3 linked regions of the Cricetulus griseus genome follow. The protein of the gene in region 1 purifies or fractionates together with the protein of each later gene. This does not show direct contact. Links are inferred from orthologs where the notes say so. Each region holds a gene or a part of one and is shown on either strand. Other genes may lie near its edges. The genes, in order: Rnf7, Asb1 and Asb7.

Region 1 (3,750 bases):
AATAATTGACATAAACTAGAATAATTGAAGAAGATCTAAGTCAAAAATAATTTTTGTGTTGTGTCTGAAGTAAACTTCTGCCAGGAATGAATGTTTCAAGGTTACTTTGTCATGTGAATTATGGTCTTTGTGATTTTTGCATTTAAAAACACTATAACCCTCCCTGAGCTTTGAGACCAAGTGACTCTAAGGCATGAGGTTAATCTTAATTGTAAGAGGGCCCCCAAGACCTTAGCACAACTGACTCCATGATGGAAGTACCATTCAGGCTACATAATGAGTCCTAGGCCAACTTGGTTTAAAAGATGAAACTGCCTCAAAGCAAGCAAATAAACGGATTTGGATTTCAGCTATCTTTTCCATAAACAAAAGCCTTTGCAGATCCCAATACCCACGGCTGGTGGTGCACACTTTTAATCTGAGCAGCAGAGGCAGATGGACCTCTGTGAATACAAAGCCAGCCTGGTTTAAACTGTGAGTTCCAGACCAGGTGGAGCTACATAGTGAGACCCTGTCTCAAAACAACAAACAAAAGCCCGGGGTGGTGGCCCACACCTTTAGTCCCAGGTTTGGGAGGCAGAGGCTGTCGGAACTCTCTGAGTTCTAGGCCAGCCTGGTCTACACAGCTAGTTCCAGGATGGCCAGGACTACACAGAGAGGCCCTGTGTGGGAAAACCAAAACAAGGCAACAATAAACAAAACCATGACGAAAAAGTTAAGGTCCTAATAAATTTGAAGTGTAAAGAAATCCAACAAATAAAGAAATAAAGAAATAAAGAAATCCAAGATGCGGGGCATAGGGGTACACACCCTTAATCCCAACACTCCGGAGGCAGAGACAAATGAGTCTGTGAGTTCAAGTCCAACCTAGTCTTCAGAGAGTTCCAGGCCAGCCAGGGTTACATAGTGAGAAAAACCTTATTAAAAATAAATAAATAAAAAAGCAGAAGGAAGATAAAGAGAAGAAAATGGAAGGAAGGAAAGAAAAAGAAAGAAATAGAAATCCAAGACTCCCATGCCCAAATTGAGACCCACTGAACCGGATTCCTGGATCTCTAAAGTCGTGACTTGTACCAAGTCACACACACCTCCTGTGGCCAGGCTTTTTGTAAGATATGGAGGTTACGGTGATGGAAGAGCCTTTTCTCCCTACTCTGATAGTTCACATTTCGGAGAGAGGAGTCTAATGAAGGCAGAAACAAGGTGATTTCCGAGAGCTCCGGGTTTGGTAAAGAAGGACGCAGGGCAAGGCTCTCTCACTGTCCTCTGCCAGCTCTGCAGTAAACGCCCGAGGCCACCACGGACGATCAGCAGGCCCCGCCCCTCCCGCGTGACGTCAGCGGGCCGCGCCAGGCCATCAGCGCCGCCTTCCTCTGGCTGCGCGGCGGGACCTGCGGGAGGCGCTGTGGCGTGCATTTGGGCCCTAGTGAGCCGCCATACCTCCCGCCTCAGCGCCCAACGTCCGCGTCGCCGTTCTGCGCCGCCGCCATGGCCGACGTGGAGGAGGGCGAGGAAACCTGCGTCTTGTCCTCACACAGCGGGACTGCGGGCTCCAAGTCGGGGGGCGACAAGATGTTCTCCCTCAAGAAGTGGAACGCGGTAGCCATGTGGAGCTGGGACGTTGAGTGCGATACCTGCGCCATTTGCAGGGTCCAGGTGATGGGTAAGCAAAGCGCTGCACGCGAGGCCGGGGCCGTGACGCGGCCTGCTGGGCGAGCTTCGCGGGCGACGGGGGGGGGGGGGGGCGAGCTGCCCGCGCTGGGTGAGTCCTGCGGGGAGGGGCGGGGGGCGTGGCCGAGGAGACAGCTGGACCGTCTCTCGGAACCCGTGGGAACCTCCGGGGTTGTGTTGGTAGCCCAGCGGCCCGCAGACCTCACAGCCGAGCCCTCTCGTGGATCTAAGCGTTCATTTAATTAATTAACTAATTAATTGATTAGTTAATGATTTTGGGGGGGAGAGACGCTCATGTTTCCCAGGCTGGCTTGGAACTTGCCCATTTAGCCGAGGTTGGCCCTGAACTCCTGGTGCCCCTGCCCGCACCTTCCAAATTCTGGAGATGACGAGCCTGCGCCACCGTGCGGATCTTGTTTCATGGCTCTGTCGCCACCGAAATGATGCGCAGCCATTTGTATGGGTTCTCTGCAGCTATTTGGCTGGCTTTTAAAATTTACATTGACCGAGTCAGATAGAGCTCGCATGTCTTGAGGCGAGGGACAAAAGAGTATTTTAGATTTATGGGAATCCAAGGATAGAAAAGCCTTTGCTTGATTCAGAAACATGAAACTTAATTATGTCCCCTTCCCACCCTTTTGTGCCCTTTCGAAGAACCTTCTTTCATTAGTAGTCCATTTTTTTGTTTGCCTGTTTTTTCGAGACAGGGATCCTCTGTATTATTTTGGAGGCTGTCCTGGAACTTGCTCTGTAGACCAGGCTGACCTTGAACTCACAGAGATCCTCCTGCCTCTGCCTCCCAAGGTGTGCACCACCAACGCCTGGCCTCATTAGTAGTCCAACATTTTAGTATTTTGAACGAAAATGTTGGACCAAATGAAACGTATCAAAAAATCGTAATCTCGTTGAGTTTTACATAGTTTAAGAGCTCAGCCCACCTTGAAAAGAACCCTGTTTCTGTCAGTTTCTCTTGGGGGGGGGGGGGCCTGGTGGTTGTTGACAGGGTTTCTCTGTGCTGACCAGGCTGGTCTCAAACTCAGATAACCGCCTGCCTCTGCGTTTCTAGTGCTGGGATCAAAGGCGTGTGCCACCATCGCAGCTCTTATTTATTTCTCTTTTAGACTCATTCAGTCTTGTATAGTCCAGGGTGGCCTTGGACTCCAGATCTTCCTGCTTCCTCCCAAGCGATGAAATTTGTAGAAATGTCTGTGGCATGATGGGGATTGAATTCCTTCAGGCTAGGCAAACTACCAACTGAGCTGCATCCCAGCTTAACATAGGTTTCCAAAGTGTCGGTTAACACCTGTAATGCTCTGGAGGCCGAAGCAGGAGAGTTTGAGACCAGCTTCCAGCAAAAACAAAAAAACAAAAAACCAGGGGCTGGAGAGATGTTTCCGAAGAGTGAAGATTGTCCATACAGATTTCCCACACCCACATGGCAGTTCACAACCCTCTGTAACTTCAGTTCCAGTTTATCCAACACTATTCTGGCTTCAGAGGGCACTAGACACATACGGTGCATAAATGTATGCAAGTAACATAAATTATGTGAGAGTTTATTAAATTGCTGTGGGCTGCAGAGATGGCTCAGTGGTTAAGAGCATTGACTGCTCTTCCAATTCCAGGGAATTGGACTTGAGTTTAATTCCCAGCACCCACATGGTGGCTCACAACCATTTGTAATGCCAGTCTTAGAGACCTGAGGCCCTTCTCTGTGGGCATTGCATAAACATGGTACACAGACACACAGGCAGGCACAACATGCATACACATAAACTATTAACTGGGAGTTGGTGGTGCGGGCCTTTAGTCCCACCACTCGGGAGGTGAGGCAGGATCTCTGCCTTCGACAATTCTAGCATTAGAGTTCAGAGACCACCAGAGCTGGAGCCAGGCACAGGTGTGTCATGTGCTTGAGCCAGTGTGAGAAGAGGGAGGGAGTAGTTTCAATCCACACTAGATGTTTATTTTTATTATTATTTTTTTTAACCTTTTGAATGCCTCTAGCCCTGGTACTAGCAACACATTGTAACAAAGCTAGTTGTGAACTCACAGGGGTCCTCCTGCCTCGGCCTCTTT
Region 2 (3,650 bases), on another chromosome or scaffold:
GAGCTTAAGGGCTCATGTTTTCGTGACAAGTACTGCCAATTGAGATATCTCACTAGCCTCTTGAAGTGTGATTTTAATACAAAATGTATGCCTTTGAGATTTATTTCCTGTTATTTCATTTCCATTGCTACAATAAAAATACCTGAAAAAATACTATAAAGAAAAGAGATTTATTTAGTTCAGCCTTAGAGGCTGAATATCATGGTGCAGGTTCTCATGTAAGCCTTACCTATGGTACCTTAAAACAGACAGCAGTGGGGGAGCTGTGATCTCCTGATATCCAGGAAGCCAGAGACTAGGAGGGCTGGTCTCATGCTCTTATAATAACCGTCTGATAAGAACTAGCCAGGATTCCAGGAGAAATTCTTTAGTCCTGCAGGAAGACACTTTGCCCTGACACTGTGGCCCAGTGTGATGCCATACTGGTTAAAGGGCTTTGCTGTCTCCCAACACTACCATACTGGGACCATACTTCTAACACATGGACTCTGTGGATACAGTAGTACTCTGCTGAATTGTTTCTTATCGAGACACCCTGCTGCTATTTCTCGGAGCAGCATGGTAGGGAGCTCACCTACCTTCCAGGTAGCAACTGTTGTTTGGCCCTAGGCTTTGGCTAACCAGCTGTCTTTGTAGTAAAGGAGATGGCTGCCATTCTCCTTTCAGATACCCCAATTCAGAGACGCTCTTACATACTTGCAATAAATTAGAGTAATTACATGCTAGATTTTTTTTGGCATAATATTTTAAATTGTAATTTGGTAGTACTTTATTTAGGTTCTTCTATGTTATAAAGTACTATTGACTTATTGTTCCATTGTTCCCCAGTCCATCACATTTTCTTTTCTTAGAAAAAAAATTCTTATCAGCTTTGGTGTCAGGAATGTGCTAATTTGATAAAGGGAACTTTACAGCTTTCTCTTATGAATTATTTTCTGGGAATTTGAAAGTTCCTGTGTGGCTGGGCAGCAAGGAGCCACTTCAGAAGTCATCCTATTTGATTGGCCTTGCTAACAATTTCCCACACTGATAGGAGCCCCTCTCTTCAGTGCAGGTCCTAATCTGAAGGAGTGGCTGAGGGAGCAGTTCTGTGACCATCCACTAGAGCACTGTGAAGATACACGGCTCCATGATGCAGCCTACGTAGGGGACCTCCAAACCCTAAGGAACCTATTGCAAGAGGAGAGCTACCGAAGGTGAGCATCCCTGCTGGGGCTGGTAACAGGTATTGGCCTATGGGTCTTCAGGAGGCTGGACTTTGTGGTTTGGATGGCAGATTAAGACTGATGCTACAGGAATGCATTTTTGGTTTTAGAGGAGGGACAAAAGGAAGAATTATTGGTGGCCAGATATTGTGGGCAGAGGTTCCTGGATCCAAGTCTGGCCCTGTGATTGGCCTTCATGTTTTCTGGCAACTTGTCCTATCTGGGCATTGGCATTAGTTTCCTCAGTGTTTTTCTTGAAGGCAATGTTAGAGATATCAGTAGTGACCTTATCCCTCCAAGTCTCCCATGGCTCTTTAAAAAACAAAAAAGATATTTTATTTATTTATTTGAAGCAGGGTCTTACTCTGTAGCCTTGGCTGGATCAGAACTCGTTATGTAGACCAGATTGACCTCATATTCACAGAGATCTGCCTGCCTCTGTCCTGAGTGCTAGGATTAAAGGTGTGCACTACTATTCCTGACTATTTTACTTATTTTCATTGTGTGTATGTGGGGGTGAGTGGGTGGGTATGTGCATGTAAATACAGGTGGCCACAGAGGCCTGAAGAGGTCATCCATTGGAACTGGGTTACAGGTGATTGTAACCCATCTGATGTGGGTGCTGGGAATTGAACTCAGGTCCCCTGGAAGAGTGGCTCATGCCCTTAGCCTTTGAGCCATCTCTCCAGCCTATCTCTTACGGCTCTTTATCTTGGGTAGTTCTTTTCCTACTACCACTTTGTTGACATTCCTCTGATGTTCTCTTCTTCACTTCTCAGGTCTGTAGTGATCAGCCATAGGCCAGCTGACTTCCCAGTATAGGGATGTGGGGCTGCCATCTTCTTTGTTTTCTTTTCCTGGCCTCATGATTTCCCTGAGTTCTTTGTGTGAATGAAGTCCCAATTAGATACTGAATACATGAAACTGGCACTTTATACTTAAATGTGTTTCTACTTTGCCTTGAGGAATGGATGCAGTTAATTGATGGAAGTCCCTGTGGGAGACCTACACTACTGCCTTTGTGTAGACAATTCACAAGCAAAGGATTCCTAACCAGCCAGGAGTATGTTTCTTTCATATCCTTCTAATGTCTTAGCACTGTTTCATAGAGCACATGTCAGTAGTTAAAAATCAAAACACAGACTAGACAGATGATTTAGCAGTTAAGAGCTCTTGTTGCTCTCACAGAGGACCCAGATTTAATTCCAGCACTCACGTGAGACAATCTCTTCTGACTGCTACAGGCACCAAGCATGCATGTGTACAAAAATATCCGTGCAGGCAAAACATTCATACATGAAGTTAAGTGAATAAATCTAATAAAACAAAACACAAAATTTAAATTTATTTAATGTGACTTAAGCCCCTGAAAGACTTAAGCACACAGATATAGCAGTAGAATGAAAGGGTTCAGTGAAGTTCCTATTGTGCTACCCTCCCTCTCCCTGCCTCTCTTCTCTCTTCCTTCTCTCTTTCCTTTTTCTCCCTTTTCCCCACCTCTTCCTCCCCATTTGGCCATCATATAGCTTTGTAGCCTAAGCTGGCCTTCAACTCCTGACCCTTTGTCTCTGCTTCCACCTTCTGAGATCTAGATTATTGACCCATGCCACCACACTCTCTCCTTTTTTCTTAAACTCAGGGTTCATGGAGTGGCCTCTTCCTTTGACATATTTTCTTTTGCTGTACATTTCTCTGTTGGTGAATTCTGGAGGGTTTCAGGGCTTTATTGGCTCATATCAGCCCATGTATGACTGGAGGAGGAACACCAGGAATTGGTTTAGTGAGACACTGCTTCAGTGTGGATGGTGAGGTGAAGCACACCTTGGTTGCTGACTTGGAGGATCAGTGAACAGTGTAGATAGTTATCTGGTGGTCATACTGACTGGGAGCTGCATCTGGACAGTTTGTTGCTACTGCTGGTCAACAATGCAGTCCCTGTAATTTTAATGATCTCCTAGGTTCTCAGTTGCTCTGGGTCAGGGTAGGAGGATGTTACTAATACTGATAGTCTCTATATGGAGAAGATTCCAGCCTTGAACCTTTATAGGTGGTCACTAAAAAGAGGGCGTGCATGGCCCTGCCTTTCTTACCCTGTGTCCCCAATGGATCTATATATGTTTGGTAGAGGAACAGGCTTTGGAATGTGGGTTAGGAATCCAAGAACTAGAAATCTCAGTTTTAGTGCTAACTATTCTGTTGAAGCCTCTAGCTTCCTTGCCGTGGGCCCCAATGCCTATTTTCTCTGCTCGATTTCAGTAGGGGCAATTGTGGAAGCCTTTCAGGACATAGAACTCAAAGGGCTGGAAATGTAGCTCAGGGGTAGAGTTCTTGCATAGCATGTACAGGATCCTGGGTTTGATCTTCAGCACCATGAGAAGGAAAACAGAACACAACGGAAGGTATTCTAAATCTGAGGGTTTGCTACCAAAATGGCTGTCTTTCTTG
Region 3 (3,650 bases), on another chromosome or scaffold:
TGGGGGAAAGTGTCTGTTAAGGGGGAGCAAGAAGCTTGTCGGGGTTGTTATTTTATTTGTTTATTTATTTTTGCTTTTTGAGATAGGGTTTCTCTGTATAGCCCTGGCTGTCCTGGAACTCTGTCTATAGACCAGGCTGGCGTTGAACTCAGATCCCCTGCCCCTGCCTCTGCCTCTGGGGCATTGGGATTAAAAGTGTGTGCCACCACTGCCAGGCAGCATTGTTGTTCTAGAGCACTTAGGGAGTCTCACGGATAAAGAGAAGTTGTGCAGATAATTCAGCCAAGTGGATTCCGCACGTTTCTCACTGACCTTGTCGTTAATCTGTAGACTTCACCAGCATTGCAAGTGAGCTCTTATCATGTTGCATTGACTGATCCTGACCCTGTAGCATTTGCTCATGTGCTCTGTTATTTCATTCATTCTGTCACTTTTTCTTAGAGACAATAGCTATAGTTTTACACATTTTTACCCTGTAGTTTTCAGTTCTGTGTGCTGCTTGCAGGATGCAGTCAGTTAATTGGTTTGAATGGTTTGGGCTGAGATGAATCAGGTCACTGCTCTCTGTGCTAATCTGTGTTTTCTTAGTTCAGTATAGCAGTAGAATGTAAGCAGAATCTTAAATAGACCCAAGGTGAAAACCAAACATGCAGGAGCAACTTTGTGTAACAGCATTTTAGCCTGACTTGTCAAATAGAATGGCTATAGGGTGTAAGGATTCTAGCACCTTCAAAGGTATCCCTGGTGAATGAAAGGTGGGAGGGGTAAAAGATGGGGTTCCTGACTTTCACTGACAGATCAAGGGGCATTATCTGTAAACAGTTGGCTGCCCTCGTTTAATCTATTCTACTTATTTATTCATTTACTTTTAAATCTTTATTTTTACATGGGGGTGCGGGGGAGGGAGAATGGGTTTATGTGCATGCCTGCAGAGGCCTGAAGAGAGTGTTGGATCCGCTGAAGCTGAAGAAGCACGTGTTTATGAGCTGCCTGATACGGTTGCTGGGAATTGAACTCAGGTTCTTGGAGAGAGCAGCAAGAACTCTTAACACTTCATCTATTTTAGGTATCAGCAGGATCTGTAAGGCAGTTTGGTCTGAGCTCAAAGTGAAAGGGGACTAGTGCATGTTCAGCCTCTTCCAGTAGGTGGCAGAAGAGTGCTTTGCATCACGCCTGTCTTTGGGTTGCATAGTCCTAGGTACTGAATATTCTTTTAGTTAAGGCCATTGCTGATACCTTTTTCTTTTCTTTTTGTTTTTGTAGACAGATCAAAGTGATACTGTGGTTGTTAGCTGTAACTTTACATCAGATGTTATGAGGAGCTAAAATAATAGTTTACTTTGTATAGGTTTTATTTGCTAACAACTCTTTAACTGCAATTTTTACCCGCTACATTATTATTAATATTTCAACATATCATTTTCTGCCTCACAGCCTCTTGTAGAGAACCCAGCTGTTATAGTCTGGAATGAAATAAGATCTTATTAAATAGCACATAAGTATTTCATCACATAGCTTTGGGGGCATTTTGTGTCTGTGAAAAACATTCATGTTTTTTTTTTTCTTTTGTAAACAAACCCAAAACTGAGTTGCACAAGAAGCATTTTAATGCTAGTAGTTAGGTGGGGCTGGTTTCTCTTCCTCGTTTGCTTTACTCGCCTCCAGGAAGCAGTGTCCATACTGTGGGGGAGGTGACTCTGTTCTACCTACTGCTCAGGGATGGTAAGCTACAAAGTGCTGATCTTTGAAAAGGCCAGAGTGGGTGGCAAAAGTCTGTAGCTTGAACAGTCGCTTAGCAGATAATTCTTGTGAATTTTTCTTCCCATGGATCTATTGATTTAGGAGAGAGTTTTAAAACTGGTTTTTAAAAACAAAGTAGTACTGAGGTTTCTTCCATTTTTTTCCCCCCACATAAGCGCTTGCTAATTCTTATAAACTCGCAGGATCTATAACTGAACTCCAAGTCCTATCTTAATCATGCAAACATGCTTCATCATGGTCCTGTCAGTCAGCCTGTGTCTCCCCGGATTGTCTGGTGGAGTGCAGAGACTGCCTCTGGTCTTCGCCTTTGCCGCTCTCCCCACCCTCTTAAACTCTAAAACAAGTCTGGCCAACCACAGGACACTGTAATTCAGAGCAGCCATCTTGCTCACATGCTTCTCTTTAAGCCAAGAAGCAGCAGCACAAGAGAAAAAAAAAAAGAAAGAAAAAAAACAGCAAATAGCTGACAACAAAAGAGAAACCATGGGATAAGGCTTCGATGAGCCCTCTCAACAGACACACTTAACTTAGCAGGAGTGGGGAGGTGCTGTGAGCCTGCATTCGGGGTCTATCCTTAAACAGTGTTGCTCTTGTCCCCCTCCTCCCACTGACTCGGGCTTTGATAAATTCCTACTGAAATGTATTTTCCACTAAGATACAACTTCTGCTAAACCTGGGGAAGTCTTCAGTGTCATTCATAGTATTTACCCCTTCACAGTCTGTGATAACTGGCTGAGCCATACTCCGCCTGCCCTGATAAGAGTTGTTTTGTCTCAGCAGCTACTGATGTTTTCATTTTGGTTTAACCCTAGCTGATCCTACGGTTAAGGACTTAATTGGAGGCTTCACCGCTCTACATTACGCAGCCATGCACGGCCGGGCCCGGATTGCACGCCTGATGTTAGAGTCTGAATACAGGAGTGACATTATTAATGCAAAAAGCAATGATGGCTGGACTCCTCTCCACGTGGCTGCTCACTATGGTAGGGACTCATTTGTCCGGCTCCTCCTGGAGTTTAAGGCCGAGGTCGACCCACTCAGTGATAAAGGTACAACGCCACTTCAGCTCGCCATCATCCGAGAGAGATCAAGCTGTGTGAAAATCCTCCTGGACCACAACGCCAACATCGACATTCAGAACGGATTCCTGTTGCGCTATGCTGTGATTAAAAGCAATCATTCTTACTGCCGCATGTTCCTTCAGAGAGGGGCAGACACAAACTTGGGGCGCCTAGAAGACGGACAGACTCCTTTGCACTTGTCTGCCCTTCGTGATGATGTGCTCTGTGCACGGATGTTGTATAACTATGGAGCAGACACGAACACAAGGAACTATGAAGGTCAGACCCCTCTGGCCGTTTCAATAAGTATTTCAGGAAGTAGTCGGCCGTGTTTGGATTTCTTACAAGAAGTCACAAGTATGTAACATAATTACTACTCTTATTGAATCTTTCCCTCTTAATTCACACTTTCTGAGTTGCTTGAGATATTTTTGTAATACGAGATGACTAGACATTAATCATTCCTATAAGTCGCACTTGGTAAGTAATACTCACTCATCCAAAACCCAATTGTGTTACTAAAAGTGGACAGTAAAGTTTAGAGGAAATGACAGACATTTTTTTAGGATGAACAAGTTTTGATGGTAGAACAAGGCAATTCCCACTGGTCCAAACAATAGCCTGTCTGTCTAATACTGTGTAGGATTCAGATTGAGGAATCAGAAGGAGAGTTTGGGGTTTTAGATTCCTTAGCTATAGAGATAGTCCAGATTCCACACTTTATTACCAAATTCCAATGATAGGAATGCCACTCTGGCTTATTTAGATAGCCCAATAATGGAGGTTAAGGATACTAGAAATTATTGTGAGAAAGCACTAGGAAATTAG

Evidence for each region.
Region 2: the proteins of Rnf7 (region 1) and Asb1 purify together in Homo sapiens (co-immunoprecipitation; 3 studies listed by BioGRID and IntAct, with this or other methods). This does not show direct contact. The link is inferred for Cricetulus griseus from reciprocal best matches to the Homo sapiens genes RNF7 and ASB1.
Region 3: the proteins of Rnf7 (region 1) and Asb7 purify together in Homo sapiens (co-immunoprecipitation; 4 studies listed by BioGRID and IntAct, with this or other methods). This does not show direct contact. The link is inferred for Cricetulus griseus from reciprocal best matches to the Homo sapiens genes RNF7 and ASB7.

What each region holds. Positions count from the first base shown.
Region 1 is NC_048597.1:205,071,130-205,074,879, reverse strand, and holds the start of Rnf7 (RING-box protein 2), read left to right. Parts: upstream 1-1,394; 5' UTR 1,395-1,488; coding exon 1,489-1,663; intron 1,664-3,750. UniProt on the Homo sapiens protein: Catalytic component of multiple cullin-5-RING E3 ubiquitin-protein ligase complexes (ECS complexes), which mediate the ubiquitination and subsequent proteasomal degradation of target proteins.
Region 2 is NC_048595.1:443,061,260-443,064,909, forward strand, and holds part of Asb1 (ankyrin repeat and SOCS box protein 1), read left to right. Parts: intron 1-1,049; coding exon 1,050-1,196; intron 1,197-2,170; exon of another isoform or gene 2,171-2,176; coding exon of another isoform or gene 2,177-2,268; intron 2,269-3,650. UniProt on the Homo sapiens protein: Probable substrate-recognition component of a SCF-like ECS (Elongin-Cullin-SOCS-box protein) E3 ligase complex which mediates the ubiquitination and subsequent proteasomal degradation of target proteins.
Region 3 is NC_048596.1:130,567,288-130,570,937, forward strand, and holds part of Asb7 (ankyrin repeat and SOCS box protein 7), read left to right. Parts: intron 1-2,573; coding exon 2,574-3,179; intron 3,180-3,650. UniProt on the Homo sapiens protein: Probable substrate-recognition component of a SCF-like ECS (Elongin-Cullin-SOCS-box protein) E3 ubiquitin-protein ligase complex which mediates the ubiquitination and subsequent proteasomal degradation of target proteins.